2 linked regions of the Macaca mulatta genome follow. The protein of the gene in region 1 interacts with the protein of each later gene in a biochemical or structural test. Links are inferred from orthologs where the notes say so. Each region holds a gene or a part of one and is shown on either strand. Other genes may lie near its edges.

What was found.
Region 2: the proteins of SELP (region 1) and CD24 form a complex in vitro, tested with the Homo sapiens proteins (2 studies listed by BioGRID and IntAct). The link is inferred for Macaca mulatta from reciprocal best matches to the Homo sapiens genes SELP and CD24.

The regions. Positions count from the first base shown.
Region 1 is NC_133406.1:27,124,924-27,141,185, forward strand, and holds the start of SELP (P-selectin), read right to left. Parts: upstream 10,831-16,262; 5' UTR 10,695-10,830; coding exon 10,692-10,694; intron 1-10,691. UniProt on the Homo sapiens protein: Ca(2+)-dependent receptor for myeloid cells that binds to carbohydrates on neutrophils and monocytes. Mediates the interaction of activated endothelial cells or platelets with leukocytes. The ligand recognized is sialyl-Lewis X.
Region 2 is NC_133409.1:78,781,917-78,798,165, forward strand, and holds CD24 (signal transducer CD24), read left to right. Parts: upstream 1-7,851; 5' UTR 7,852-7,934; coding exon 7,935-8,003; intron 8,004-10,742; coding exon 10,743-10,910; 3' UTR 10,911-12,739; downstream 12,740-16,249.

The sequences.
Region 1 (16,262 bases):
AAGTCACATGAGAACTTCCTGACCCACACAAATAATGTCTAACCTATACTTTGAGGTCCAGAGCATCAACTAATTGTGTTATGCTATGCCATCTATTTTGTATTATTGATCTTTGTTTTATCTTCTTGCTTTTTCATTTCTGCACACATCTACAATACTATTCAATGTTTAATATACATATGTATGTATATATTTAATATTTCTTAATATATGCAGTAAACTTATTCCCCTTGGATCTATAGCAACTATTATTTCTCATGAACTCTCTTCTGTTGGGCTTTCATCAAATATATGAATATTTTTAAAATGTTTTTGGGGCCGGACGCAGTGGCTCATGCCTGTAATCCCAGCACTTTGGGAGGCTGAGGTGGGTGGATCATGAGGTTAGGAGTTCAAGACCAGCCTGGCCAACATAGTGAAACCCTGTCTCTACTAAAAGTACATTTTTTAAAAATTAGCCAGATGTGGTGGTGGGTGCCTGTATTCCCAGCTACTCAGGAGGTGGAGGCAGGAGAATCACTTGAACCGGGGAAGAGGAGGTTGCAGTGAGTGGAGATCACACCACTGCACTCTACCCTGGGCGACAGTGTGAGTCTCCTTCTCAAAAAAAAAAAAAAAAAAAAGTGTCTACTGTACCTATTGGATAAATTGGTCCTGGATATATCAACTGAGTTCTAGTGATGCTTATCTTCTCCGACTTCCTCATGTTGCACTTGAAAATACTGAAGCTTGGAGCATCTAAATAACACATTCAGAATGACAGTAGCAGAGCCTGACTTTGAAACAAGAGCTCTTTCCACTCTACTTTTTTTTTTAATTTTTATTTTTACCTTCATTAACCTCCAGGCTTCTAAATCCATGCTGCATTGCTGTTGTGGATGGTAGAGTGTGTGACATGACTAAGCCTAGTTGCTACATTGGTTCCCCTCCAAAGCCACTCCAACATTACCATCGACATAAAAACAGTGCATTTGCTATGCATTTGCAGTTTTGTCACTATCCCAGTCAGACTGCTACCTAAAATCTCTCCTGTAAAAAAATCCCACATTGCCATAGACCACAATTTGGTTTGTGACAATTTGCTGCGGGGTTATGTATGTGTTTGTGTGTCTAGACCCAGTGATAGATGATGTAGTGTGCATGGAATGGTGTGCAGTTGTGTGTGTATTCCTGTGTCACGCCCCAGTGACAGATGATGTAGGGTGCATGGAACAGTGTGGGGTTGTGTGTGTGTGTGTGTGTGTGTCATGCCCAGTGATGGATGGTGTAGGGTACATGGGACAGCGTGGGGTTGTGTGTGTGTTCGTGTGTCATGCCCACTGATGGATGATGTAGGGTGCATGGGACAGTGTAGGGTTGTGTGTGTGTGTGTGTGTGTGTGTGTGTGTCATGCCACAGTGACAGATGATGTAGGCTGAATGGGACAGTGTGGAGCTGTGTGTGTATGTGTGTGTCATGCCCCAGTGATGGATGATGTAGGCTACATGGGATGGTGTGGGGTTGTATGTGTGTGTGTGTGTGTGTGTGTGTGTCACGCCCCAGTGATGGATGATGTAGGGTGCATGGGATGGTGTAGGGTTGTATGTGTGCATGTGTGTGTGTGTGTGTGTCATGCCCCAGTGATGGATGATGTAGGGTGCATGGGATGGTGTGGGGTTGTGTGTGTATGTATGTGTCATGCCATAGTGATGGATGATGTAGGGTGCATGGGATGGTGTAGGGTTGTGTGTGTGTTCATGTGTCATGCCCCAGCGATGGATGATGTAGGATGCATGGGATGGTGTGCAGTTGTGTGTGTGTGTCACACCCCAGTGATGGATGATGTAGGGTGCAAGGGATGGTGTGGAGTTGTGTGTGTGTGTCATGCCCCGGTGATGGATGATTTAGGGTGCATGGGACTGTGTGGGGTTGTGCATGTGCTCGTGTGTCATGTCCTGGTGATGGATGATGTAGGGTACATGCAATGGTGTTGAGTTGTGTGTGTGTGTCACTCCCAGTGATGGGTGATTTAGGGTGCATGGGACATTGTGGGGTTGTGTGTGTGTGTGTGTGTCATGCCCAGTGATGAATGATGTAGGTGCATGGGACAGTGTGGAGTTGTGTGGTGTGTCACGCCCAGTAATGGATGATGTAGGGTGCATAGGACAGTGTGGAGTTGCATATGTGTGTGTATGTGTGTTTGTGTGTGTGTGTGTGTCATGCCCAGTGATGGATGATGTATGGTGCATGGGACAGTGTGGGGTTATATATGTGTGTGTGTGTATGTGTGTGTGTGTGTCATGCCCAGTGGTGGATGATGTATGGTGCATGGGACAGTGTGGGGTTGTGTGTGTGTCATGCCCAGTGATGGATGATGTAGGGTGCATGGGACAGTGTGGGGTCATGTGTGTGCATATGTTCGTGCACTTTTGACTACAGCCTGACCAGATACCAGGGAGAACTCAACTCAAACCAGTTGATGTGCAGAGAGCAGAGTTATCTCATAAGCCTAGAACTTTTCATCTGGGAGCTTCTGAATCTTTGCTTTGGTAAGTAGGCATATTTTGTGTTCTTATAAACTGCTGATCTCTGCAGGACCTATGATTAAACACTGAGAGTATCATGACGTTATGATTTATGGTGCTGTTTATTTGCACAAAAAGTAGAGTGACAGATAATCCCTTAGTGAGAAACTAACCCCACTGCTTTCTCTGAATTGTGTTGTGTCACAAGCTGTTGTTACGAACACATTTCAAAGTGCACCATTCCAAATGCTGAAGCAGAAATCTTCAAACCAGGATAAGGCTGACTTCCCAAGGGTTTCACAAGCAAAGAGAGTGTTAATTAAATCTATATTCAGATTCTCAACTTTCACATATATACTTTCTTAAAAACAATTTTCCTAAAATACACCTTTCTCCTGCTTTACAAGAGAAATATTATACCTTTTACTAATTTCTTATTTATTCTAGAGCTTTGCCCTTGGATATAAATACATTCGTATGCCAAAGATGATTCAAAATATTGGTATAGGTATTAAGAATTTGAATATTTTAAATGATATTGCAGCAAATCCTTTTTCAAGTATGGTGATTTCCATTTAGTTCCTTTCATCAGCTTTGAGGGAGCACTCAATTAAGTTGTCAGCTTTGACTAAATTTTGATATTAAATCACTATGTAATTTGGGGCATATAACTTGGAAGGACTTCAAGGAATTGAGACATTGCTACAATAAAACTTCTAATTCCATTTACTTATTCATATGAATGAAGTTTCTCAGGTTTAAATCCTTGAAAATGAAATATGGGAATAATATTGATGCTAAACTTGTTGGATTTTGTTGATAAATAATATTCATTTATGGATATATGAACAAATAGGGGAAAGCTCCTCCTCTCTTAGAGACCAATCTTCAATAGTAATTTAAATACAAAGGTTTAAATTACTTGTCAAAACTTGTAGTATATTTACCTTAGTTTATTTAATTGTGTACTAAAAGTAGCTGTCATGCTAACTCAATAGAATAGAAAAACATTTTAACACATAGAGACTTATGGTTGTAGAAAATTAAAATTTTATATTATATTTTTATTTTGCAAAGAAGTACAATAATCAAGAAAATACTTTAAGCTTAAAATGTGTTGTCTTAGGCTAAATAATGTAGAAGTGGGATAGAAATAAGTATTCAAGGAGAGAAAAATGAATAACATAAAATTTCTTATTACTAAGAGTCTGCTTGTGGTCTTTTAAGTGATGAGGATTGCAGATCACGCTAGTACTTTATTCCATTGGATAAACTTTAAGAAATTATGTAACAATTTTATTTTTAAAGTCTAATTTTTGTAATACATTGGAAAATCCAATCTTCTTTTGCTTTTAAAATTTGGGATAAAAAATTGTAGCTTTCCACTTAGAAAGGTGTAAGAGGTAACGTAGTGCTCCAGGATATTTTTGGAGGTATAGGAGCAAAAATATTGCTGCTGAAGAGCACAACTCTGCAGGCTTCATGAAGGGACCTAAGTGCTTGTCTCTGAACCTGGGCTCTGCCTCTACTCAGGCAGATTGCAGGACGAGTGCAACGATTTTAAATTTAGTGGTAATCTTCCTGTGGAAGTGGTTTTCTCCCTGAACAGAGTATTTCTAGGGATTTCCCTGGCTTTGGGGCCAGCTCACAAGAGTGTGTGGGGCGAGGGAGTCGGCGAGTCTCCTAGTCTCCCATCACAGTGGTCAACTCTACCCACTGTTTCCTGTTTTGGCTTGTTTGTTTAAACTTTTAAATAAGATGTGGTTTAAACAAAGTTTCCAAAAAGAGATGTTTCCCATTTAACCTGTTTGTTCGTTTGTTTACACTTTTTTTAAGCAAAATTTCGTCAGCAAATTCTGTACCACACGAGACAAAACAGAAAGTGAGAGAGAGCGAGAGAACTTGTTTTAAATATTTTAAAATTTTAGAGGACTGGTACAGTGCTTCCGATAAGGGCACAACATCTAAGAAAGGAAAATGCAAGTCAGTGTGCATCCCCTGCTTTAATCTGACATAGTTTTCTGTTTCCTTGCATCACCAAATATCAAGATTCACCTCTTATGGTCTCTTGTGGGAGACCATAAAGGTCACTTTCAAGCTAACTTAGCACTTATCTGCTGTTCTGCAGTAAGTCTTCAGATCATGAATGCCTAAGATGGGGCGGCCACCGCTCCCCACCGCTGAGACTCAATGAGTGTAAATGATTTGCCCAAGCTTGCTCACCTGAATGTACATAGGGTTAACACAGTAATTCTTATTCTTCCAGGGCTTGTGCATTTTCAAAATCTGATAAAAGCCATGGTCAGACTTCTTCAAAACATATGCATACTTGCAGTATTTTAGACAATCTCAGATGGTTCATGACCTACTAAATCTGTCCATGTATAATGGGGCCCGAGTTCAAGATTCTGTGTTAACTGTAAGGCAACTGACAAGGATTTTGTGTGCAGGTGTGGAGAATGGATGATGTTTAAAAATCTTCTTCGAGTAACAATCTTCCTCTGAAACCTGCTTGGGGTGGGCAGGCCTTCTCACACCTGCTCCTACTCTGCATTATAGTCTTCAGGATGCTGCTCTGTCCTGTGTCACTAAGCAAGTTAAGTACGAAAACAAGAGGAAATTCCTCTCTAGAAGCATCCATATGCTCTGCTAGTCTTTGATGTGCTCTGGAAGCCTGGTTCAACTGGAAGTTGCTGGAAAGGAGTCAGAGACTCGGTCATTAGAATAACATCCTGTGCCTCTGTAAGCCTTCATTAAGCACCATGATTATCTTTAATTTTACTTTAATAAAGAACTAGGCTGGGTGGGGTGGCTCGGGCCTGTAATCCCAGCACTTTAGGAGGCCAAGGTGGGCAGATTGCTTGAGGTCAGGAGTTCGAGAACAGCCTGGCAACGTGGTAAAACCTCGTCTCCACTGAAAATACAAAAATTAGTTGGACATAGTGGCGCATGTCCGTAGTCCCAGCTACTTGGGAGGCTGAGGCAAGAGAATCGCTCGAACCCATAAGGCGGAGGTGGCAGTGAGCCAAGACACTCCAGCCTTGGCGACAGAGTGAGACTCTTTCTCAAAAAACAAAACAAACAAAAAAAACTAATAATGATTGCAGGGTAAAGAAAGAAGCAGAGAGAAAGTGGAATAAGCAAATGCCTTGACCTAACTTTTCATAGAAGGAGGTACCAGAGGCTAGTAGGTGTCCCATGGCTTGCCACGTTCCAGGTGGCTTACAAAGTTGGCAGGAATAGTGCCACAGAAACGAGATCCTGTTCTCTTTGTCTACATTGTAGACCACAGTTTTGTGCTTTTAAGAAGGCAGAATCAAACAATGTCCGTCCCTTGACCCTTTGTTCTCCTGCCCATATCAGCCCAATTTCTGTCCTTCCTCTATAGCTAAACTTTCTTAACTTGCTTGCCTCCCCTTTACTTTCCAGCCCACTGCCCCATCATCCTAGCAAAGTGTTCCTGCAAACTTCATTGCTGACATCCTCATTACCAAACCAAATGAAGACTTTCCACCCTTATCTTCCTTGACCTTTCTGTAGCAATAAATACCACTACTTCCTTTTGCCTAAAATGCTTCCCTTAGCTCTTCTGTTGTTCTTCTGCTCTAATGTTTGAGAAACTTTTCTGAGTCTTCTGAATCTACCTCAATCCTCTGCCTTCCCTTGCAGAGGTAAGGGTTTCTCTAGGTTCCCACTTCCATGGCCCTATTCTCTTCTCATTCTTCTGCTTTACTGGAAAGTAAAGATGACCTCCTTATGGTCATCTGTTTCCAATGTCCTCTAATCAGCATCTCCATTTCTGAATATTCTCTTGAGCAGGAGGTCCACAATTTAAATGCACGACAAACATGTGAGTATACAACTGAGGAAGCTACTGACAGAGGCTTCTCAAGGGCAAGGACTATTACTCACTCAGGTCTGAATCCCCAGCCATGGTATGGCACATACTTAATGCTTAATAAACATTTTATGGATAAATGAATGAATGAATAATGGCAGAGGAATGACTGAAAGTAAGATAAAAATATGCTAAATAGAAAAATGTTGGAAAAATACATAATAATTATAACTGAGTGTATTACTTTTACATTAGTGATAATATCTAAGTGAACAAATAAAATGGTGAAGACGGACAGAATTCCAGTCCTCATAGAATGCACATTCTATTGGTAGATATGACAATGAAACAAATACTAATAACTACGCAATAGTACTAAGCAAGTAAACATGAAAAATATTAATAGAATATAGCCATAAGCGCTAGGTAGGAAATGAAACTTATGTGATAGAATGACTGTGTCACTATGTTGGTCAGGAACGTCAGGGAAGACCTCTTTAATGAGATAATGTTTAAGTGGAGAGAAGAATGACAAGAAACCAGTCAGTGAGAAGCAGGAAGAAGAGCATTAAAGGAAGAAGAAAAAGCTATTTCAAAGGCCTTAAGGTGGAAGCAAACTGCAGTGTGTTCAAAGAACATGAAGACATTAGTGTGGCCAGAATGGAATGAGCAATGGAGAGAAAAATATGAGATGGGGGTAGTGACAGATCACATCAGGCTTTGGGATCCAAAACAAGCAGATGAGATTTTATTCTAAGGGCAACGATAAGCCAAGGGAGGTTGGGCAGGGTGGCTCACACCTGTAATCCTAACACTTGGTGAGGCCAAGGCAGGCAGATCACTTGAGTTCAGGAGTTTAAGACCAGCCTTACCAACATGGAGAAACCCCATCTCCACTAAAAACACAAAAATTAGCCGGGCATGGTGGCACATGCCTGTAATCCCAGCTACTCAGGAGGCTGAGACAGGAGAATCACTTGAACCTAGGAGACAGAGGTTGCAGTGAGCTGAGATGGCGCTACTGCACTCCAGCCTGCTGAAGATTGGGAGGTCCTCGAGTTTAATTGAAAATGTAGTTTGAAACCAGATCTTGTGGGTCACAAATACCAGTTGGCAGAAGGGATCTAATTGCAGGGTTCTGAACAGAGAAGTATCATGAACACATGCACTTAATGGTGGTATGATTTTTTTCGGGGGGCTGGGGGATAGGGTCTTGCTCTGTTGCCCAGGATAACATGCAGTGGCATGATCTGGGTTCACTGAAACCTCCACCTCCCAGGCTCAAGTGATCTTCCCAGCTCAGCCTCCTGAGTAACTGGGACTACAGGCATGTACCACCGCACTCAGCTAATTTTTTTGTAGAGATAAGTTCTCACTATATTGCCCAGACTGGCCTGGAGCTCCTGGGCTCAAGCAAAACTCTTTTGTTGGCCTCCAAAAATGCTGAGATTATAGGGGTGAGAGTGGTGCGATCTTTTTTTTTTTTTTTTTTTTTCTCTTCAATGAGTTAGAATCAGGGAGATTGCACTGCAAAAGAAGAGGCTATTGCAATGGTCCAGTGAGAGTTAAAGAGGGACTGGTTTGGTCTGGCATCAGTGGGAATGCAAATGGGGGAGGTGAATATGAGAGTCATGGAGGATGCAGAACTATACAACTTGTTGGTAGCAAAGCCCAGATGTTACAAGCTATTACAGCTAATACATTAGTTCCCTTATGTTTCTGGATGATGGTTGTGGTAGTGGTGTGGCACAGATATGAGTAGCCCAGCTTAGGGGTGGAAAAAGAAATACAGTGAGAAAAGAGGTTGTCTCTAAGCCAAAGAGCAAATTATGAATATAGACAGGAAGGGACCTAGGACATCAACATTTAGAATCCAAGCATATACTTAATTTAGACTACTAATTGCCATTATTTTGAGTAAACTATTAGCATTAAAAATAAAGTACCATACTTAAATTTTTAAAAAAGTCATTGGATCGGAGATGAGTTATATCTCTACAAATAGTAAGGATTTGCTCTGCATTTGACTTCATAAAGTTTCAGGTTTACTTTTCAATCAGAGAGATTAGACACCTTGAAGACAATATAACGAATGTCATTTATAAAACCACTGTGTACCTACTCTCTAGGGTTAGATCCAGGGTTTTTTCTAAGCACAGCTTTTTATGTAGTAAGTCATTTTGATTTTTGAGGATTTGATTAATAAGCTTCTACTTAAAGATCTCTGAAGATGCACATTCTAAGAGCTGGTGGCCAGCCCAGGAGAGTCTGAACTATTTTAGTTGCATTTTGAAAAACAGGTAATGAAAAGAAGAGTAAGGACTAGAAGCCACATAGCTAAGGTGGTTAAAAGGTATAAATGGAAAATAATCCAGACCTGCTCCTTAGCCCACTAAAACTTTTTGTTTTGTTTTGTTTTGTTTTGTTTTGGAGACGAGTCTTGCTCTGTCACCCAGGCTGGAGTGCAGTGGCATGATCTCGGCTCACTGCCACCTCCACCTCCTGGGTTCAAGAGATTGTTCTGCCTCAGCCTCCTGAGTAGCTGGGATTACAGGCGCATGCCAACATGCCCAGCTAATTTTTGTATGTTTAGTAAAGATGGTGTTTCACCCTGTTGGCCAGGCTGCTCTTGAACTCCCGACTTCAAGTGACCCATGCACCTCAGCCTCCCAAAGTGCTGGGATTACGGGCATGAGCCACTGCGCCCAGCCGTAGCCTGCTAAAAGTTTGACAAACATCAATGCAATTTAACTATAAGTTCCCAGTCAAGAGTTACTCCTCTGAGATCTATCTGATTGAAAACACCCCACCAGAAAAACCTTATCCTCATTTTCTCAGGTCCTAAAAGTTAATTAAAGCCACTCTCTGAACTGGAAGCAAAACTTACAGAGGGGCTTCTGAACACAAAGCACAGGAGGCAATCGAGAAAGGTTCTGATCGTGGGATCCACACGGAGGTCTGGGAACCTCCTGTGGTTGTCTCTGAAGGTTGGTGTTTATGTGGATGTTTTTGCTTTCATCTGAGAAAGACAAGTTGTAACTTTCATCAAAATCTCAAAGAACTCTATGATCCAATAATTATGTTCATACCTTTGAAATACAGAAGGATACCAAGGAGAGTAGAAGGGAGGAAGAACTGCTCATTTAAGTTAACCAATTCAGAAGTATGACATGCAAAAAGATAAGACAAAAGTAACTCATATCCTCATGTCATTGTGGTTCAAACTTAGGACAGGCTCAAACTCCTTCCTCTTCTCTTTATCATACTCTCATTCCTGTTTTCCCCAACACGGAACCCCACATTATAAGTAGTTGAAAAGTGTGCTATAGTAAAGCAAAGAAGTGGGATGAATCAGATGTATGCGGTACTTTTTTCTGGAGTCCCACAGAACGGTGCTCAAAAACAGAGAGCTGCCTGTTTCCTCCACAGCCACAGACTGCAGGATTTCAGACCCTGGGACTACGTGGGATACTCTTGGAAAGTCTGGGGAAAATTAGAAGTAGCCTAACCATGTGCATTTTATCTAGGTGCATATAACATTGCTGAGTTCAAAATGCCTAGCTATCCTTGGATCTTTCCTGAATCCTAAACCCCACCATTCCTAAGATTGTTCTTTTTCTTCTAACAATAATGGCTAACATTTACTAACACTTACTATGTGTCAGGCTCAGATCTGGATGCTTTTCAGCAAAATCTTATTTAATCCTCATGATAAAACTATAGAGTATTATTACTATATCCATTTTATAGAAGAAGAAACTGAGTCATTAACAAGATTGAGACTTAGGGCAGAAATGGAAACTATGTGTATATTCCAGATCAGTCCCAGAAGATTCATAGGCTCACAGAAAGAAATGGGAGGGATGGGGATGAGAAACTCTTCCATTGTAAGCTTGTCCCAGGGCAGTTGCCCAGTCTTCCATTTATTTCATCATTTATCCCAGACAGAAGTGCAGTCTTGGAAAATGGGGTGACAGGTTTACCATGATCTACTCTCAGAGAGCCCCTGTAGATTCCAGTAGGAGGAACAGCAGCTGCAGAGCCAGAGGACAGGACCCAGATCCCAACATCATGTAGCCTAACAGTGCAGCTTAGATAAAACAAAGCCTCTGTAAGCCACAATGACTTCATTTGTAAAATAGAAATAGCAACCTCAACTCACAAAGATGTTGGGAGGGTCAAAGTGGACAGCAAGTTTAAAAGCACTCACAAAATCTAATAGGCAATTCAACATAAAACTCCATGGCTATCGCTGTTCCTCACTTTCTGAAACTTTACCTGCCTGACTTAGTCCCAAACCACTCCAACTCACTTCAACCACTTCCCATGCAGAAAAAAAATAAACTCACCATCTCCTCTGCGACTCTGCTGGTTTTCTGCCTTCCGCCCAACCTGGACTTCTTATAATCTCACTGCCTCCCCTCAGTGTCAGGCTGTTTAGAAAAACAACTTCCTATTCACATTCCAGAAACTCACCACAGCCCTTCCCATGAAGTTAGAATGTTGATAATGCGAGGGTGATGTTGGCAGCTTAGAAACAGTGGTTGCCAAGAGGCAAAGGGGTCACCCCCTTCCATGGGAGATGGTCTGGAGACAGGGCAAGGTGAATCATTCCTGCGCTGAGCAACGTGGTAACAGTACATACACAAAGGTTTCCTTTGATTATGATATAAGCCCCAATTTAAAGTCGTACATTTGGAAAATATGCTTTGAATTAATCATAATGTGATTTTCCAGTGCCCATTTTCCAGTTGTCGTGAAATGTCAGTGAATGTTTACTATTCCAGCAGCCTTCTGAGGGAAAGGAGCAAAAATAGTAGCACAATAAAAATTAGAGAGAAAAGGAAAAAGCCACTAACGGTTTTCTGGCACTTAGGGAAGTTTACTGGTAAGTTTCAAAATGACGTATTAAATAGACATAGGTCACATGAAAGAAATTCTGCTTCTTATAGCAGAAATAAAAAGGTATACAAATAGATACCTTTTTATTTTCCTCTTCCCATGGAATATGTAGGACCAAAAAGCTGTTGGCATAGTAGTTAAGACTTGAGCTATGCTGTTAAACAGCCTGAGACCCATCCTGGCTCTGCCTCTGGCTATCCACTGGGCAAATTACTTAAACTCTCTATGCCTCTGTTTCCTCAACTGTAAAATAGAATAACAAAATTTGTCTCACCGGGTTGTTGTAGAATCAAATGAGTTAATATGTAGAGAGTGATTGAAATGACACCTGGCCCACAATTGACGCTCAACAAATGTTAGCGATTATTACTACTTTTCAGATTAGATCTCAGACAGCAAAATCAAGTATCAGGTATTTAGTATCAAGTCAGAAAGCCATAACTCCTATTTATACTCTCAGAATTCTATTGTGTAGTAGTAGGTATTATTCTTCATTCACTTCATGATGGTTACAGCTTGTAAATAGGCATCTCATGGATAAATTTAAAATGGAATGAAGTAGAAACATTGGAAGAAAGTCTAAAGGTAAAGATGAATTAGGGCATGTGAGGCTGCATTTGCACTTTGGAATTTGGTACCAAGAAGAAGAAATTAATTATATAGTAGAAGTAGAAAAGATTGTGAAGGAGATGCTGTTGAAGGAATGACTGTAGGGGAATAAGGGAAGCTTAGAGAGATGAAAAACTGAGGAACTTCTTGGCAGCATGATGCAGTTCAGAGTCTAGACCCCAGAGTCAGACTGCCTAGCTCCACCACCTACCAGCTGTGTTGGGCGTTACTCATCTCCGTATGACTCAGTTTCCTCAGTGATGTGGTTTTGCTGTGTCCCCACCCAAATCTCATCTTGAATTGTAGCTCCCATAATTTCCACAGGTTGTGGGAGGGACCTGGTAGGAGATAATGGAATCATGGGGGTGGTTCCCTCATACTGTTCTCATGGTAATGAATAAGTCTCATGAGATCTGATGGTTTTATAAGGGGAAACCCCTTTTGTTTGGTTCTCATTTCTCTCTCTTCCCTGCTGTCATGTAAGACGTATCTTTTGCTTTCTGCCATGATTGTGAGGCCTCCCCAGCCATGTGGAACTGTGAGTCCATTAAAGCTCTTTTTTTAAAATAAATTACCCAGTCTTGGGTATGTCTTTATCAGCAGCATGAGAACAGACTAATACACTCAGCAATGTGAATAATAAGGTTAATAATCACCAAACACATAGACGTGTAAGGACAATTAAATGAATTTAAAGTGTTTGGAACAATACTTAGCATGCTGTAAGTGTAAGTTTAAGTGTTGGCTATTATTCTACAAGACTTGCCTCCATGTCTTTCTGTTCTTACTTTCATTCACCAGCCCCTCTTTTTGGCATTGCCTCATGTTAAAAAATATATATATATATATATATATATTATATATATATAGTGTATATATATATTTTATATATATTATATATATAATATATATAATATATATATAATATATATACTATATATATTATATATAATATATAATAATATATATACTATATATAATAATATATATAATAATATATAATAATATATATAATATATATAATATATAATATATATAAATATATATATAAATATATATATATATATATAGTCTCAGATGGAGATGAGGAAGGGTGGTATGTAGACTAGTAGGTTCTCTTTTTTTTTTTTTAATTTTTTTCAGACAGGGTCTCACTCTGTGTCCTTAGGCTGAAGTGCAGTGGCATGATAACTGCTTTCTGCAGCCTTGACCTCCTGGGCTCAAGCAGTTCTCCCACCTCAGCCTCCTGAGTAGCTGGGACTACAGATGTGTACCATCACTCCTGGCTAATTAAAAAAAAAATCTCTAGAGATAGGGTCTCACTATATTTCCCAGGCTGGTCTTGAATTCCTGGGCTCAAGTGATCCTTTCACCTCAGCCTCCCAAAATGTTGGAATTACAGGCATGCGCCCCCATGCCCAACCTGATAGGTTCTTGTTGATAATAAGTTTCATATTAATAAGTGCAACTGGTAATATGTTTTTAAGTTGATGTTGTTAAATTTTAGTGAATATAAAAAAAACATAAAAAGATTCCTATGGAGGTGACATTAGCAAGATAGTGGAGTAGCAGATGTCAGCCTTATGCCCCAAGAAAAAACAAATATAGACAGCTATACACAAATCAAAATAGCCCTCAAGAGGGTGGGGAGTTGCAGGGTGGGGCTCAAGAGCCTGTTAAAGAATTTGGAACAACAAAATGGAGAAAAGAAAACAATATCCATGTAGAAGAATCACTAGTGAGACTGGCCTATATGAGACACCAGGAGATATCTAGGAATAAAGAAAGTTGTAGGCTATCAGTGTCAGTCACGTGGTAAGAGCCACTGTGGCCCCCAGTGTCCTGCTCCACAGAGGACACTGGCATCTTTTGTCACTAAGGTAACCAACAGCCATCCCCACAGCAGGATGCTAGAAAGGGAGACACAGTTGCACCACCCCCCAAACCCCCTCACCAAGAAGCAGCTATTGTACTGCCCCAGGACTGGGGCCAGGGTTGCCACCTCTTGCAACTCTATGTGTTTCCCTGATCCCCAAAAGTTGTGGCTGCTCTGCAGGTATTCACACTCCGGACTGTGGCTCTGTGGCTGCAGTGCACCTACTCATGTCTCAGACACTGGAGTCATTGCTGTTGTGAACTAGATCTCACTGTGGGACCCCAAACCAAGTTCTCTCTGTGAAAGTCTTTGCTCCGGACACCAGTTCAGCCACTGTAGAAAGCTAACCCCTATTCTTGACTCCAGAGCTACTGTAGTAATGTGCACGCCTGTGCTCCAGACCCTGGCTCTGAGGCTGCGCTACACACAACCACACCTCCAACACCAGAGCCACCATTACAGTGAGCTAGTACACACCCTGGGTCCCAGTCCCAGAATCAAGGTTTCTCTGTGCCTGTCCATGCTCCAGTCACCAGCTCAGCCAACAAGGAGAGCTAACCCACACCCGGGATCCTGGAGCCACTGTAGCTCTGCATATACGTGCAGTAAAGTCCCTTGCTCCTCAGCTGCTTTATATGTACCTGCACTTTACACACTATTGTCAATGTGATAGTAAGTATGCCTGTGCCTTGGGCACTGGTGCCATTGCTACCATTGAATCTGGTGCTGTGGTCCCTCCATGCATGCCCATGCTTCAGGCCTTGACTCTTGACCACTCCATGGGCACTATTCATCAGACACCAGTGCCACCACCACCATAAGCAGGCCTGCAAGTTAGACCTAGTTCCAAGAGGAATTTCTTCAGTCACAACTTCCCAGGTGGGGAAAAAAAGAGATACGGAGGACTTGTCACCACTGAAAACCTCAACAGCCTCCTTGCCACTATAGATACCCACAGTGTTGGCTTCTAAGGATCCCTGTAGTCTTCACCGACACCAACCTCAGCTGACAGATCTGCATGGAGACCACACAGCTTTGCCCCCACTGAAGTTAGAACTTTTGCATCCCACCCAGCCAGCATCCTTGCATTATCCTACATAAGATGGTATTTATCCACCAAAGTCAGCCCATACAGCCTGAAATTGCGGCAGATCCACCAGATGCTCAAACATCAGTGTAAGGCAGCAAGAAACATGAAAACCCAAATTAAAATATCACCACCTAAGAAACACAATAATTTCCCAGTAGCTGACCCAAAAGAAATGGAGTACTACAAATGGCCTGACAAGGGATTCAAAATAATTGCTTTTAAAGAAGCTCAGTGACTTTGATGCAGACACAGAGAAACAATTTGGTGAAATCAGAGAAACAATAAATGGACAGCATAAGAAATATAACAGAAAGATTAAAATGATAAAAAAAAGTTGGAGCTGAAAAATATAATGAATGAAGTGAGAAATGCAGTAGAAGTCATCAATAGCAGACTTGATCAAGCAGAAGACAGAATCTGTGAACTGAAGACAGGTTTTTGAAAATATACAGTGAGAGGAGAAAAAAAGAATGAAAAGAAATGATGAAAGCCTATAGGATTTATGGGACAGCATAAAGAGAGCTAACATTCAGCCAGGCACAGTGGCTCATGCCTATAATTCCAGCACTTCGGGAGGCCAAGGTGGGTGGATCACCTAAGGTCAGGAGTCGACACCAGCCTGACAAACATAGGTGAAACCCCATCTCTACTAAAAATACAAAAAAATTAGCCAGGGATAGTGGCACATGTCTGTAATCCCAGCTACTGGGGAAGCTGAGGCAGCAGAATCTCTTGAACCCAGGAGGCAGAGGTTTCAGTGAGCTGAGATCATGCCACTGAACTCTAGCCTGGGTGACAGAGTGAGACTCCATCTCAAAAAATAAAAATGGAAATTAAACTAAAAATTAAAAAACAGAGAGCTAACATTCACATTACAGTAGTTTAAGAAGGAGAAAATAGAGAAAAAGGAGGTCAGAAAGCATATTTAAAGATTTCTAGATGAAAATTTCCCAAATCTGAAATAAAATATAAATATTCAGGTACAGGAAGCTTAAAAATCTCCAGTCAGGTTCAATCCAGAAAAGATCACACCAAGACATAATAATCAAACTATCAAAAATCAAAGACAAAGACAAGATCCTAAAATCAGCAAGAGAAAAGAAGCATATCACAGGCAAGAACTGCAATAAGGTTATCACAAGATTTCTCAGCAGAATCCTTCTAGGCCCAGAGACAGTGAGATGATATATTCAAAATGTTGAAAGAGAAAAAACTGCCAACCAAGAGTTCCATCCTTCAGAAATAAAGGAGAGATAGAGACTTTCCCAAACAAATAAAAGCTGAAGGAGTTCATCAACACCAGACCTGCCTTATAAGAAATGTTAAAGGGAATTTTTCAAGCTGAAAGAAAGGGATGTTAATTAGTAACATGAAAATCTATGAAAGTATAAAAGTCACAGGTAAAAATAAAAACATAGTGAAATTCAGAATTTTCCAATATTA
Region 2 (16,249 bases), on another chromosome or scaffold:
GTGAGGCCTGGCACGGTGGCTCACTTCTGTAATCCCAGCACTTTGGGAGGCCGAGGCGGGTGGATCATGAGGTCAGCAGTTCGAGACCATCCTAGCTAACACGATGAAACCCCGTCCCTACTAAAAATACAAAAAAAAAAAATTAGCCGGGTGTGAGCCGGGCGTGGTGGTGGCATGCGCCGGTAGTCCCAGCTACTCAGTAGGCAGAGGCAGGAGAACTGCTTGAACCTGGGAGGCGGAGGTTGCAGTGACCCGAGATCGAGCCACTGCACTCCAGTCTGGATGACAGAGTGAGACTCCATTTCAAAAAAAAAAAAAAGTATATGGGTATAAAATATACATATACTTTCCCACTCTTCCAATTTCATTATTTCCCAGCAAAGAATCATTCAGGGTCTGCCTGCAAATGGCAAATGATGTAGCACTTCTCTGGTCTGAAGACTCTTTTCTAGGAGGTAGAAGTGGGATTTCACTTCTGCTAGAACTTAAGTACCCCAATTAGGCCTGGACTCTGCCTCCTGCACAGGGGTGGAAGAGGGTCTTAGAAAGGTCCTTTTTATGGGATGAGCCCACCCAGCTCAGGCCATTCTCTGAGGCAAACTCTGCCCACCAGAAGCTTTCTTCCCCCATAGACTTTATAACTTGAGGCTCCGGAAGGAAGAACAAAATGTGGAAACTGATGCGATGCCAAATGATTTCTCATGATTTTTTCTGCAGCTGGGTTCTTCATTTTTCTTCACTTCTACTGAAAGATTTTTTGTGTGTGCCATCTGGACTGAGAGAATTTGGTCTCACAGTTGTCATAGGATGGATGAATTGAGGCAAACTCAAATTTCTGCTTGAGAACTCGCCAGTGATGGAAGGAGGGCGATTCTGAGGCCCCGGGGGCTGGACAGAGTTCCTTTCCACCTATTTGCTTTGTGGGAGTTGGGAAGGTAAAGGCCACAGAATATATTGACTTGTTAACTTATTTAAATTACTTTATTTGTGAATGAGTGATGGTACAAGCTAATGTAATGGAAAACACATCTCATTCTCTTCTGCCCTGGCCACACAGTTTCTCTCCTCAGTGGCCAAGACAATTTCTTGTGTATCTCTTTGGAAATATTTTCTCTGTCAGGCTTCTGTTTTTGTTTTTTTATTCTTAAAATTTAATATTTATTTATTTTTTGAGACAAGATCTCGTTCTGTGCCCAGGCCAGAGTGCAGTGGTACCACCTTAGGTCACTGCCGCCTCCTGAGCTCTAGCAATCCTCCTGCCTCAGCCTCCTAAAGTGCTGGGATTACAGGTGTGAGCCACCCCTGGCCAGTTTTGGTTTTTTTAAACACAAAGTACCGTACTGTACACACTGCTATGTATCTTGCTTTTTTCACTAAAGAATTTATCTTGGATTTCCCCTCTAGTATAGATTATGTTCCTTTATTTTTAATGACTTCATAATATTTCATGATATAACTGTGCTGCAACAAATCCCTGAACATACGTTATTCTGCATTTGTAGAAGTTTATCTGTAGGTTAAATTCTTTTTTTTTTTTTTTTTTTTTTGAGATGGAGTCTCATCTCTGTCACCCAGGCTGGAGTGCAGTGGCACGATCTTGGCCCACTGCAACCTCTGCCTCTTGGGTTCAAGCAATTCTCCTGTCTCAGTCTCCCAAGTAGCTGGGATTACAGGCATCTGCCACCATGCCTGGCTAATTTTTGAATTTTTAGTAGAGACAGGGTTTCACCATGTTGGCCAGGCTGGTCTTGAACTCCTGACCTCAGGTGATCTGCCCGCCTTGCCCTCCCAAAGTGCTAGGATTACAGGCGTAAGCCACTGTGCTCGGCCAGGTTAAATCCTTAAAATAAGAAGAATGTGCATTTTTAATACTGAGATATGTGAAATTCCTTTCCATAATCCCATCAGCATCGATGAGAAAGATTTTTCTTACATCCTTGCCAACACAAGGGAGACACCGAATTTAAATTCTGACCAAAGAGATTAAGAGTTGGCCGGGCGCGGTGGCTCAAGCCTGTAATCCCAGCACTTTGGGAGGCCGAGACGGGCGGATCACTAGGTCAGGAGATCGAGACCATCCTGGCGAACACGGTGAAACCCCGTCTCTACTAAAAAATACAAAAAACTAGCCGGGCGAGGCGGCGGGCGCCTGTAGTCCCAGCTACTCGGGAGGCTGAGGCAGGAGAATGGCGTAAACCCGGGTGGCAGAGCTTGCAGTGAGCTGAGATCCGGCCACTGCACTCCAGCCCGGGCGACAGAGCCAGACTCCGTCTCAAAAAAAAAAAAAAAAAAAAAAAAAAAAAGAGATTAAGAGTTGCTTCTTTATTTTATTTCAAACACCACAGTGTTTGAAATGTAAGAATTTGATGCTTACCTCTAAGCATCCTATTATTCAATTTGCATCTGAATACAGTCACAATTCTTTGTCTTTACACTGGTTTTCTGGTCTCAATGAGGCTTAAGATAATTTGAGTGACTCTACAGGAGGAAAAAGGAACTAATAGTCAAAGAAAATCATCGTGGTTTATTAGCTTTATAAGGATTCCAAAATGCAGGGCTTTTTACATTCGGCACAAGAGTTGTTTTTGTCTTCCTGACAGTGAGCCCGTAGGGTCCCAGTGGCCAGCAGGGGGCAGCACGTACACACAGAGAGTCCGGCTGGGACGCCACCAGCTGATTCAACATGCTGCAGCTACTGGACCTAGGACCTCATCAGTCAGAAATGCAAACTCACTTTGTTACCTTTACTGCCTTCTCATGGTTGGCAGTGAAGCACAAAGCTCGACTAAAAGACCAGGATAAATGGAAATATTCAGTGCCAACCAAGTGCAGGGTGGCACAGAATTAAGAGGGAGTAAGAGGGCTGGGTGCAGTGGTTCACGCCCAAATTCCAGCACTTTGGGAGGCCGAGGCGGGCAGATCACGAAGTCAGGCGTTCCAGACCAGCCTGACCAACATGGTGGAACTCCCTCTACTAAAGATACAAAAATTAGCTGGGTGTGGTGGCGTGCGCCTGTAGTCCCAGCTACTCAGGAGGCTGAGGCAGGAGAATCACTTGAACTCGGAAGGCAAAGGTTGCAGTGAGCCCAGATCACACCACTGCACTACAGCCTGGGCGACAGAGCGAGACTCCATCTCAAAAAAAAAAAAAAAAAAAAAGGATATTATGAACACAACTAAGAATAGCATCATGTTGTAGAACAGAATTTAAATTAAATATTTGGTTATTCCAGCCCCTATTTGTGCTATAAAGCACAGAAGGAACACCTTTATTGGATTCACATTATATTTCATACCTATTTTGCCAAAAAGTGCTAAAAATGTCAACTAGTTAACCCCTGCGTCTTCTGTTCCTCTAGAAACAGGATTTATTATTTTATCTTAAAAAGCAAATGAACCTGTTTCCTTAATATTAGTCCATTCAACCAGCAAATACTGATTGCATGCCAGGTGCAGTGGGTATTGGGTAGACAAGACATAGCCTCTTGGGAGGCTAAGGCAGGAGAATGGCTTGAACCAGGGAGGTGAAGGTTGCAGTGAGCCACTGTACTCCATCCTGGGTAACGGAGTGAGACCCTGTCTAAAAAAAAAAAAGAGAAAGTGGTGGTGCAGGATTCAAATCCAGGTCTGACCCGAGAATCTACCATGTGCTGTGCCAGTCTGGTCTGAGGTCTGCACATAGAAATTGTAGGCATCGTCCAGGCACGGTGGCTCACGCATGTAATCCCAGCACTTTGGGAGGCTGAGGCAGGCGGATCACCTGAGGCCAGAAGTTCAAGACCAGCCTGGCCAACATGGTGAAACTCCGTCTCTACTAAAAAAATACAAAAATTAGCCAGGCGTGGTGGGAGGTGCCTGTAATCCCAGCTACTCGGGAGGCTGAGGCAGGAGAATCGCTTGAACCCAGGAGACAGAGGCTGCAGTGAGCCAAGTTTGTGCCACTGCACTCCAGCCTGGGAAACAAGAGCGAGACTTTGTCTCCAAAAAAAAGAAAAAGAAAAAGAAATTGTAAGCATTGCTCCTCCCTCAGTATTCCTCAGAAGAGAACCAGCATCAGATGAGGGAGTTTTTCATACTATCTCATGAAAGCTATGAAAACTGAAAGTTAAAACTTTCCACACATACATCAATTTATGCAATCAATCTGTTTCAAAATCATTCTATGCCACACTTTCTCTACAAAATGGAAATTGGCCATGTGTCTCAATGAAAAGTTCAGGATAACTGGTAAGAGTCTCGATTTGGTTTAGCGGCATGAGTTATTACTGGCTAAGTTTTTTTTTTTTTTTTTTTGAGACGGAGTCTTGCTTTGTCACCCAGGCTAGAGTGCAGTGGCCGGATCTCAGCTCACTGCAAGCTCCGCCTCCCAGGTTCACGCCATTCTCCTGGCTCAGCCTCCTGCGTAGCTGGGACTACAGGCACCCGCCACCTCGCCCGGCTAGTTTTTTGTATGTTTTAGTAGAGACGGCGTTTCACCATGTTAGCCAGGATGGTCTCGATCTCCTGACCTCGTGATCCGCCCGTCTCGGCCTCCCAAAGTGCTGGGATTACAGGCTTGAGCCATCGCGCCCGGCCTTAAGTTTTTTTTTTGAGACAGAGTCTCTCTCTGTTGCCCAGGCTGGAGTACAGTGGCGCAATCTCGGCTCACTGCAACCTCCGCCTCCTGGGTTCAAGCGATTCTCCTACCTCTCTGCCTCCTGAGTAACTGGGACTACAGGTGTGTGCCACCATGCCCAGCTAATTTTTTGTATTTTTAGTAGAGACAGGGTTTCGTCATGTTAGCTAGGATGGTCTCGATCTCCTGACCGTGTGATCTGCCCACCTCGGCCTCCCAAAGTGCTGGGATTATAGGTGTGAGCCACCGCGCCCAGCCATGACTCAGTTTTTATTAGCAAAAAAACTACGAAAAACCAGGAGAAGCGGATGAATAATAGGAAGAAAGAATTATAAACCAAAAGAACTGCAAAGGAAAAATCAGGCAGTTTTCTTGAGTTTCTAGCTGTACAGGAAACAGGGTAGGGTGGAGACCTGTAGAGAAGATTCTTACCTGGGTTGGGCCTCCAGTTGTCAAAGACCTGGGCAACACCTCCAGTAGGATGCCCAGGGGGAGCTCCTGGGCAGAGGTGAAGGGCTTTGCTCTGTGAATTATCCAGTCTCATTAGCTGGTGATGAAATGGTTCACAAAGCACAGATCCCAAGTGCCTTGCCAGTTTTGGGAATTATTTGGAGACTGATATTCTTTCACGTATTACACAGAGGCAGAGAAGGTAATTACCTTCTGGTTCCTGGCACCTTCAGTGGAAGAGTAAATATTAAGTGAGAGCTACTACTCTGAGGCAGGCAGTATTCTAATATTTACATATACAATAACTCTTTAATAACTAATTACTAATGATGTTATTATCTCCATTTTATAGATGAAGGAACTGAGGCTTTTTGTCTCCAGCAAAATTAGCAGAGCCACGGCTTGAACTCTGGCAGTCTGTCTTTAGAGGCTGTCTTATTCTAGGAATACCACCAGTTAGTTCAACAAGCAGCTTGTGGAGGACATACTATGCTCCCTGCCTTGGAACCCGGCACTCCTGAGTCACAAACAGTCCATATTTTCACCCGGAAAAGGAATGGAGAAGCTGGACCAGAGTATTTATTCTTTCTTTCTTCCTTTTCTTTTTCTTCCTTTCCTCCCCTCCCTCCTTCCTTCCCTCCCTCCCTTCCTCTCTCTCTCTCTCTTTCATTCATTCAGAGTTTTGCTCTTGTTGCCCAGGCTGGAGTGCAATGGCCTGATCTCTGCTCACTGCAACCTCCACCTCTCAGGTTCAAGCTATTCTCCTGCCTCAGCCTCCCAAGTAGCTGGGATTACAAGGTATGAGCAACCACGCATGGCTAATTTTGTATTTTTAGTAGAGACAGGGTTTCACCATGTTGGTCAGGTTTGTCTCGAACTCCTGACCTCAGGTGATCCGCCAGCCTCAGCCTCCTAAACTGCTGGAATTACAGGCGTGAGCCACCACGCCCGGCCAAAGTATTTCTATACAATGTGGTACACTGTTAAACAGGAAAGTCCACTTGTGCTCGACAGAAATTCTTGTGTTCCCAAGCACATCTTAAACGTGCTTGGAAAGTTACTGAGCAAGTGACTGACCTTCAAGGCACAAACCGATTCGGTCACTATTCAGTCAACAGACCCATTGCAGATTTCATTGTCGCTTTGCTTCCCTGAAACTTACTTTGTTTTAATGAGACTGTTCTGAAAAAGTGAAATTTAAACAAATTTAGAATCTTCCTACTCTGTGGTTTGCTTTAAAGACTGAAAAATGCTTGGGCTAAACCTTAAATAAAAAGATCAAGTCTTGCAATTAAAAATTGAACCAAAAATACTAACGAGAGTGTTCTGCAACAGTGAAATTTAAACAAATTTTCAACCATACTAGGTTTGGTCTCTGCTGTTTGCTTTAAAGATTGAAAAACACTTGGGCTAAACCTTCAATAAAAAGATTAGGTCTTGCAATTAAAATTTAAACTCAAAATACTCCACCAGTAAAATTACTTCAACTTTTATTGTGTACTTGAAAGTTTTCACAAGATGGATAGGAAAAAGGTATTCCACCAAAATCTAAAGAGTGATGACGAATCTCCTCTTTGTGCCAGTTCATTAAATTGCCTAATGGCAACTACGGATAAGTAAATGCCTTTAACCCGAACGGTTTTGCTCTTTAAACGAATGACGGGCAACAGAGACCGAAAAAGTGTATCCCCAGGAATTCGAGAAGGACGGTGAATTGTAGTGGTACCGCCAGGAGGGGAGGCTCCTGCCCCCTGAGTAGAACCAGGGAGCAGAGCCGCTCGGGGTGGGCGGTGGGGGCTTCAGGACCGCGGAGGGGATCCCCTCAGGGTGGGCCGTCTCCTCCTCGCCCGCCGCAGGCAGGAGCGGGGGGGACCGAAACCCTGTAGTTTGCAGCGTCCGGCAGCGGGTCCGCGCCCAGCGAGAGGCTCCCCAGCTCCGGGGAGGATGCGGACCCGGGACGCCCCCGTGAGCTCGCTGCGCCTGCCTGACACGAGGCGCTCACAAAACAAAGCAAGGGCTTCGGGGAGGGCGCGGCCGCGGGGCCGAGCGCGCAGATCGCTCCGGACCCGGGCACCGCCTGCGAGCCGCGCCGACCAGCAGGGAAGGGTTAGCGCTAGGCGGCGCCCGGGTCCAGTCTGCCAGGGTGAGTGTCCGGCCCGCGTCCCCGCCACGCCCGCTGCGTTCCCCTTTCCTCTGCGGCGGGCCGAGAGATAACCCCGCCCGAGGAGCCCCGGCGCCCGCCCCCCACGCGGGTCGCACTGGAATTCGCAGCCCCTCTCGGGTCTCCGGGGCACATTTTGCAGTCTGGGTGGCAATGCACTTGCTCCAGGACCAGCTGCTGCCCAGCCGCGGCGGACGGGCGGACTTTTCTTTTGGGGGGTAAGATGGCAGGTCCCGGGAAACAAAGGAAACTTGGGCCCGGCCCCCAGCGCGGCGTGTGTGGCTCGCATGTGTGCCCCGGGTCCTGTGTGGAGTCGCTGGGCGCCTGTGCCAGCCTGCCCGCTGCCCGCAGCCGGCGCGGGGAAACCAGCCGGGTAACAGCAGCCGGCGGCGCCCGCCCACCTGCGGCGGCGCCCGCCCGGGGAGCTCCCTCGCGGGCCGGACCCGCGGCGGCGGTGGCGGTGGCGGCGGCGGGGGAGGGGGCGCTGGGGAGCCCAGAGCAGGGCGGGGAAGGCTGGGAGGCGGCGGGCGGCGGCGGAGGGGAGCCGGGGTGGGCGGGCGGCGCCACGTCACGGCTATTGTGGCTGTCCTGGTATATAAGGTCCCGCCGGCTCGCCGCGCTCCCCACCTTTCCTGCGCCCGCCCGGAGCCAGAGGTTCCTCAGGTACCCGGCATCCAGCGAGACGCGCAGCGCACCGACGGAGGGGACATGGGCAGAGCAATGGTGGCCAGACTCGGGCTGGGGCTGCTGCTGCTGGCACTGCTCCTACCCACGCAGGTGAGGCCCTGGCGCCCGGCGGGGCTCAGGGCCGTGCCCGGGGTGGGGGCGGGGGAGATGGACCAGGTCCCGGGGGCCGTCCTGCGCCCATACTTCGGGCCACGGACAGGGACTGGGAGAGAATCTTGCTTAGCTGACCAGGGGAGAGGGCCATGTGGACCCCATTTTTCCACTCCCTTGCGTGCTGCCCCCTCCCCTCCCACGGCCCTGGGAACAATGCAGCTCCGCGCGCGGGCTGAGAGGACTCAGCCCCACCCCAGGTTCCACGCTGTCCCTTCCCAGGCGGCCAGGTGCCTGCTTCCCACTTTCACCCAGAGGCCCGAGGTGCCCGCAGGGATTAGCGCCTGGAGAGCTCAGGCTCCCGGGCGACGTCGTCCCTGGGTCCCCTGAGGACCCGCTTCCCCCTACGAGTGTCTTCGCGCTCCCCGAGCTCTACACAAAGACAGGCGACCGTCCCTTTCGGGGAGGGCGGCTCACGCCCATCCTCCACCCTCGGAGTTGGACTGGGGATCCCGGAGAAGCTACGGCTATCCGGCTCTTTTTAAATCCCAATCCCGGGAGGTTCGGCGCTGGAGCCGAGGTGGGGACCCTCTCCTGACGCCGCGTTCTCTGCGAGGCAATCTTTCACGTCCATTGCTTGTCATCTTAGGATCCCCATGTTATTTTAGCCCAGATTGGCTAGTTCTGGGGAGGCGGCATGGTGGGACGATTCTGTCCCGAGTCCCCGCCAGGCTTTGTCCGGGTCGCCGCTACCAGCGCCTTCTCCCTAGACCCTCTATCCGGGGAATCTCGCCTCGGGTGCGGGTACCGGGGACCGCGCAGCGCTGCCTCGTGGGTGGATGGATGCACGGTGCAGGCGAGGGAGACCGGGGGCTGGGCCTGGGAGACCCTAGCGGGGGCGGGGGCTAAGAAGGTACGTTTGTCCGGGGGAGTTCGGGTTTGGGGGATGGGAGTGAGGGCTCTCCAGCGCCTTCGGTTGGGGTTAATAGAGGACTGTCTCTGGGGCTTCTCCCCCAAAAGTTGGGCGCGCTGGGCCCTCCGTCCCCAGACATCGAACGTCTGGGCTCACGTGGGAGTGCAGCCTGAAAATGTGCAGCGCTCTTCCCCACCGCGGGCCGGGTAACCGTACCCTATTGTCTTCCTCCCAGTCCGCTGCGCTCCCGAGCCCTCCTCAATTCTTTGATGGGGGAGGGGCGCGGCCGCGAGAAACCGGCCCCCTCTACTCCCCGCCCCATCTTCTCTCCGACCAGATTTTTTCCTCCAACATTGTAAGTGAGAAGTTTTAATAATGCGAATAAATCTAGCTTCGGAGAGAAAATTTTGTTTAGTGTCCGTTTAATAAATTTTTGTTGGTGTAGAGGATCTTTAGATCCTCAGATTGATACACCGGGTTTTAAAAAGAAAATATCACCTGCAGCACTAAAACTAATTGTATGAATAAAGAACAGGTTACTTTCAGGGATCCCAAACAAGGTGTCCAAAACAGGCACCCTGTTTTAAGTAAATTACCATATTAATGCTTTTCTTTATTGGGAGTGCCGTTTCCTGATGGGACACACTAAATCTTGCACACAGTAGGTGCCCAATAAATAAATTGGACTTGATACAGATTTTTTTGTTGTTGTCACTAATCTATTTTGGATAGAATTTGTACATTTCTTTAGTCAATATTTGTTTAATGACTTTATGGATTTACAACAAAAGGAGCTGGTGCTGATGTAGGAGGGCTTTATCTTTGGATTAATAGGCAGCCAAATGTACATGGGGCCCAGACTCTTGCCTGGTGCCACGTCCTCCCTCCCGCCTGTAATCAGAAGCCCTTGTAAACCCTCCCTTGCAGTGAGGGCTGAAAACTCCGATCTGCCTTTGTTCCATGACAAAGGAGAGATTATCACGTGCCCTACTGGACTGTGCATTTCGTGGCTTGAAAAATCAGTGGTGAATGATGCCACTCAGACGCTGGGACACTGGGAGAACCTTGGTTCTTGGCCACAGCACTGAGCTTAGTGACCAGTGAGGCTGCTGCTGGTGAAACTTAACACCATACCCTCTCGCTGTCTTTTGTGAAATCGTTCCGACCTCATGGTGTTTTCTTGAAGTCATTCTGCCTTAAAGGAAAGACTCATTTTCTCTTTCAATTTAACACAAATATTGTGGCCATTTTTTAGAAGAATTATTTCAAATTTCAAGGGAGAAGATAAGACTGCAGTTCCCCCCTTAAGGAAAAGGCTAAGTTTCCAAGGCTGTATTAAATGAGTATGTGAAAGTTACCTAGCAAATCCAGGATAGACACAGACCCAATTAATTCTAGTTCCGTAAGTCTCAGTTACAATATTTAAAAATCCCCATTTTTTTGTGCAACTTTAAAATCTCTCCCTTTCTGCGAAAATAGACCTTATTGCAATGCCATTAAGTCAATATAATCTCGGAAACCGAATTAGTTAACTTGGTCCTTTTTTCCTTTGCAAAGAAATAAAAACAGGAGTTATAGTTATTGAATAACTTTTTTGTTCTTGTTGCCACTTGGCATTTTTGAGGCATCTCTAGGTAGTTTGCTTTGAAACTAAAGAGAATGACCTTGGTGGGCTGAGCAAGAATTTACAATTTAATGATGTTGGGTAAGAGAACAATGGTAAGAGAGCAATCTAAGAATATATCACCTACTTTAATTTTATATTAGAGTATGCGGAGGTAGCTGTGATGTGGAAATTTATCCATGTAACTTTTTATGTATTTTAGATTTATTCCACTGTAACGACTTCTGCACCACTTTCAAGTAACTCCTCCCAGAATACTTCGACTACCCCAAATCCAGCTAATACCACCACCAAGGCCGTTGGTGGTGCCCTGCAGTCAACAGCCAGTCTCTTCGTGGTCTCACTCTCTCTTCTACATCTCTACTGTTAAGAGACTCAGGCCAAGAAACATCTTCTAAACTTCCCCATCTTCTAAACCCAATCCAAATGGCGTCTTGGCAAGGAAAAACAGGTCTTCATTGAATCTACTAATTCCACACCTTTTATTGACGCAGAAAATGTTGAGAATCCCAAATTTGATCTGCTTGAAGAACATGTGAGAGGTTTGACTAGATGATAGATGCCAATGTTAAATCTGCTGGTGTTTCATGTACAAGATGGAGAGGCAACATCCAAAATAGCTTAAGACATGATTTCTTTGAATGTGGTTTAAGAAATATGGACACTTAATCCTACCTTGAAAATAAGAATAGTAATAAAGGATGTGATTGTGGAATGGAGATTCAGTTTTCATTTGGTTCATTAATTCTATAAGGTCATAAAACAGGTAATATAAAAAGCTTCCATGATTCTATTTATATGTACATTAGAAGGAACTTCCAGGTGTTACTGTAATTCCTCAATGTATTGTTTCGACAGCACTAATTTAATGCTGATATACTCTAGATGAAGTTTTACATTGTTGAGCTATCGCTGTTCTCTTGGGAACTGAACTCACTTTCCTCTTGAGGCTTTGGATTTGACATTGCATTTGACTTTTTACATAGTAATTGACATGTGCCAGGGCAATGATGAATGAGAATCTACCCCCAGGTCCAAGCATTCTGAGCAACTCTTGATTATCCATAAAGAGTCAAATGGTAGGCATTTCCTATCACCTATTTCCATTCAACAAGAGCACTACATTCATTTAGCTAAACAGATTCCAAAGAGTAGAATTCCAGTGACCGCAATTAATTTCAAAATACTTTTTATTATTATTATTATTTTTTAGATGGAGTCTCACTTTGTCGCCCAGGCTGGAGTGCAGTGGCGCGATCTCAGCTCAGTGCACCCTCTGCCTCCTGGGCTCAAACGATTCTCCTGCCTCAGCCTCCCAAGTAGCTGGGATTACAGGCACCTACCACCATGCCCGGCTAATTTTTGTAATTTTACTGGAGAAAGGGTTTCACCATGTTGCCCAGGCTGGTTTCGAACTCCTGACCTCAGGTGATCCGCCTGGCTTGGTCTCCCAAAGTGCTGGGATTATAGGCTTGAGCCCCGTGCCGAGCTGTCAAAATGCTTTTTATATCTGCATATGTTGAATACTTTTTACAATTTAAAAAAATGATCTGTTTTGAAGGCAAAATTGCAAATCTTGAAATTAAAAAGGCAAAAATGTAAAGGAATCAAAACCGTAAATCAAGTATTTGGGAAGTGAAGACTGGAAGCTAATTTGCATTAAATTCACAAAAACTTTTATACTCTTTCTGTATATACTTTTTTTTCTTTAAACAGTTATGGATCAGAATAGCCACATTTGGAACACTTTTTGTTATCAGTCAATATTTTTAGATAGTTAGAACCTGGTCCTAAGCCTAAAAGTGGGCTTGATTCTGCAGTAAATATTTTACAATTGCCTCGACACACAGAAACCTTTTTAAAAATAGACACTCCCCGAAGTCTTTTGTTCGCATGGTCACACACTGATGCTTAGATGTTCCAGGAATCTAATATGGCCACAGTAGTCTTGATGACCAAAGTCATTTTTTTCCATCTTTAGAAAACTACATGGAAACAAACAGATTGAACACATCTGAAGCTACTGTGTGTGTGAATGAACACTCTTCTGCTTTATTCCAGAATGCTGTACATCTCTTTTGGATTGTATATTGTGTTTGTGTATTTATGCTTTGATTCATAGTAAATTCTTATGTTATGGAATTGATTTGCATTGAACACAAACTGTAAATAAAAAGAAAGAAATGGCTGAAAGAGCAATCTTGCATTTTAAGTTTTTCCAGTATGAGGAATACTTTGTGGGTAATCATGGTTCTATGAGCCTGTTAAAATTTTTAAAAATAATTAACAAATTTTGGGGATTTTTTTTTTTTTTTTTTTGAGAGACAGGGTTTCACCATGTTGTCCAGGCTGGTCGCGAACTCCTGGGCTCTAGTGATCTTCCTGCCTTGTCCTCCCAAAGTGTTGGGATTACAGGCATGAGCCACCACTCCAGGCCCCAAGTCTGTTAATTTAAACCATAGGGATATACCTCAGTATTTTTCTTTCTCTTTCTTTCCTTTTTTTTTTTTTTTGAGACAGAGTTTTACTGTGTCGCCCAGGCTGGAGTGCAGTGGTGTGATCTTGGACATTTAAACTGAGATCCAAATGACAAGACAATTGTAGGAGGATCTGAGGAAAATTCCCTGGTAGAAGGAACAGCATGTGCCAAGTCCACGAGCCTGCAGCAATTTTTCCCCTATCTATAGGTCCACAGATCCTTTTGGTTATCTACCTACCTACCTACCTACCTACCTACCTACCTACCTACCCACCTACGTACCTATCTATCATCTGTCTGTCTAATTTATGAGATAGGTCTTACTATGTTGTCCAGGCTGGTCTTGGACTTCTGGGCTCAAGTGATCCTCCTGCGTTGGCCTCCCAAAGTACTGGGATCATAGGCCTCCCGAAGTGCTGGGATTACAAGCCACCATGCTTGGCCCTCTTTGGTCATCTAAATTGTCACTTCCGTATGCTCCTTTCACGCCCCTGAGTTCCTCTGAGGCCCTTCAAGTGTGTTCCGAGGTGACTGAGGGACAACCTGGAAAGGCAGGCTGGAACTTGGGAGTATGTGGAAGTTGTAGTCTACAAGTTTCCTTTCTTCTTTCCTCCCTCCTTCCCTCCCTTCTTTCCTTCTTTCTTTCCCTTTCTTTCCCCTCCCCTCCCCTCCTCTCCCGTCCCCTCCCCTCCCCTCCCCTCCCCTCCCCTCCCCTTTCCTCTCTTCTCCTCTCCTTTCCTTTCCTTTTTTTTTGAAACAGAGTTTCGCTTTTGTTGCCCAGGTTGGAGTGCAATGGCACCATCTTGGCTCACTGCAACCTCTGCCTCCTGGGATCAAGTGATTCTCCTGCCTCAGCCTCCCGAGTAGCTGGGATTACAGGCACGCGCCACCACATCTGACTAATTTTGTAGTTTTAGTAGAGATGGGGTTTCTCCATATTGGTCAGGCTGGTCTCGAACTCCCGACCTCAGGTGATCCACCTGCCTTGGCCTCCCAAAGTGCTGGAATTACAGACATGAGTCACCGCGCCTGGTCTTGCAAGTACACTTTCTTCAACGAACTTCAGTTCTGCTTTTAGGGTCTTTCAATTGATGGAATAAGACCCCCTTTGATGATCTAGGTATCTATCTATCTATCTATCTATCTATCTATCTATCTATCTATCTATCAATCATCTATGTGTACCTATATATACACACACACACAAACATGAGGAAGAAATACAACTATTATAATTCTCATTTCTACAATGGGTCATGTGGCTGTAGCTGGTTTTGCAGTTACCTTCTTCCATTATCAATTCCGTATTAACTTGGCTGTCAGTAAACATCTCAGCTGGTCATGCTTCTAAGCCTGGCAAGGTGAACCAAATCTTTGCTTGAATTTTATTGTGGTTTCCCATTGATTGTATTTTATTTTATTTTTGGAGACAGAGTCTTGCTTTGTCGCCCAGGCTGGAGTGAAGTGGCATGATCTCAGCTCACTGCAACCTCCACTTTTTGGGTTAAAGCAATTCTCGTGCCTCAGCCTCCCAAGTAGCTGGGACTACAGGCACACACCACCATGCTCAGCTAAGAGACAGGGTTTTACCATGTAGGCCAGGCTGGTCTCAAACTCCTGACTTCAAGTAATCTCCGTGCCTCAGCCTCCCAAAGTGCTAGGATTACAGGCGTGAGCCACTGTGCCCGGCCTCCCACTGACTTTAGTGACAGGACATAGTAGTACTAAGAGATGCCCTAAAGCATCTGTATTTCAAACATACTTTTCCTTAACTTCTACTGTATAGTAGCAACCCAATTTCCCCATGGTAATCAGAATTAATCACTTCAATAGTACAGTAACTCCCTTCTTTGCCTTTTTTTTTTTTTTTTGAAACGGAGTTTCACTCTTGTTGCCCAGGCTGGAGTGCAATGGTGCAATCTCGGCTCACTGCAACCTCCGCCTACAGAGTTCAAGCCATTCTCCTGCCTCAGCCTCATGAGTAGCTGGGATTACAGGCATGTGCCACCATGCCAGGCTAATTTTGTATTTTTAGTAGAGACGGGGTTTCTCTATGTTGATTGGGCTGGTCTTGAACTCCCAACCTCAGGTGATCCACCCGCCTCGGCCTCCCAAAGTGCTGGGACTACAGGCGTCAGCCACCTTGCCCGGCCTTTCTTTGCCTTTTGATGCAGAGGCTTGAGGAGCCCAAAGTGATTGGATGGCAGTCTTAACTTCCAGTTCAGTGGGATCATTGCTGTGTTTCCAGATTGCAAGCATTCTTCCATTGGAGCTACAACCTCTAGACCAGTAGAGGTTAAAGTAGTGACAATTTTGCTAGTGAATCACTAGGGGTAATGGTGAGTGGTGTCACTAAATTTCCACTCCTTGATTCTTGGGCCTGCAAACCTGGCTATGGGAGAAACAGCACCATATTTAGACCACATATAGCTTCCTGGAGGACACTGCCCCAGTCCTGCAAGGTATTGCCATGTAGTTGGTCCTGTAACTTGTTTCCAAAATGCCATTCCTCTGTTCCGTCACATCAGTGGCTTTATGAGGGACACACTATGCTAAGATCAGTACATTCCATCACCATGGGCCCATCGCCACATGTCATCGGCTATGAAGTGAGTTCTCTGGTCAGAAGCAGTGCTGTGTGGATTACCATGATGGTGACAACCATTCTATAAGTCCACAAATGGTAGTTTTGGCAGAGGCACTGTATGCAAGAAAGGCAAATTCATATTCTGAATAAGTGTCTATTTTACTAAGAACAAATGCTGCCCCTTCCATGATGGAAGAAGTCCAATGTAATCAACCTTCCACCACACAGCTGGCTGATTACCCTGGGCAGTGGTGCCACAGAGGAGACTCGGTGTTGGTCTCTGCAACAGCAGGTTGGGCACTCCCCAGTGGTTGTAGCCAGGTTGACTGTGGTGAATGGAAGTCTACGCTGCTGGGCTTCTGCCACCATGAGCCCACTGGACAATGACAAGAATGGCTGGAGAAAGAGGTTGATTGATATCCACAGAATGAGTCCTCCGATCCCTTTGATTATTAAAATCCTCTACTGAGCTCACACTTTAACGAGCATTCACATGAGACACAAATATCTTCACATTGTTTGCCTATATACCTCTATCCTTGCATCTCTTCCCTATATCTTCTTGTTACAGACTTTCCAGTTATGTCTCTTCCACTTCCATTCAGCCAACTCATGAGTCATAGCCTGAATGCCAGATTCCTAT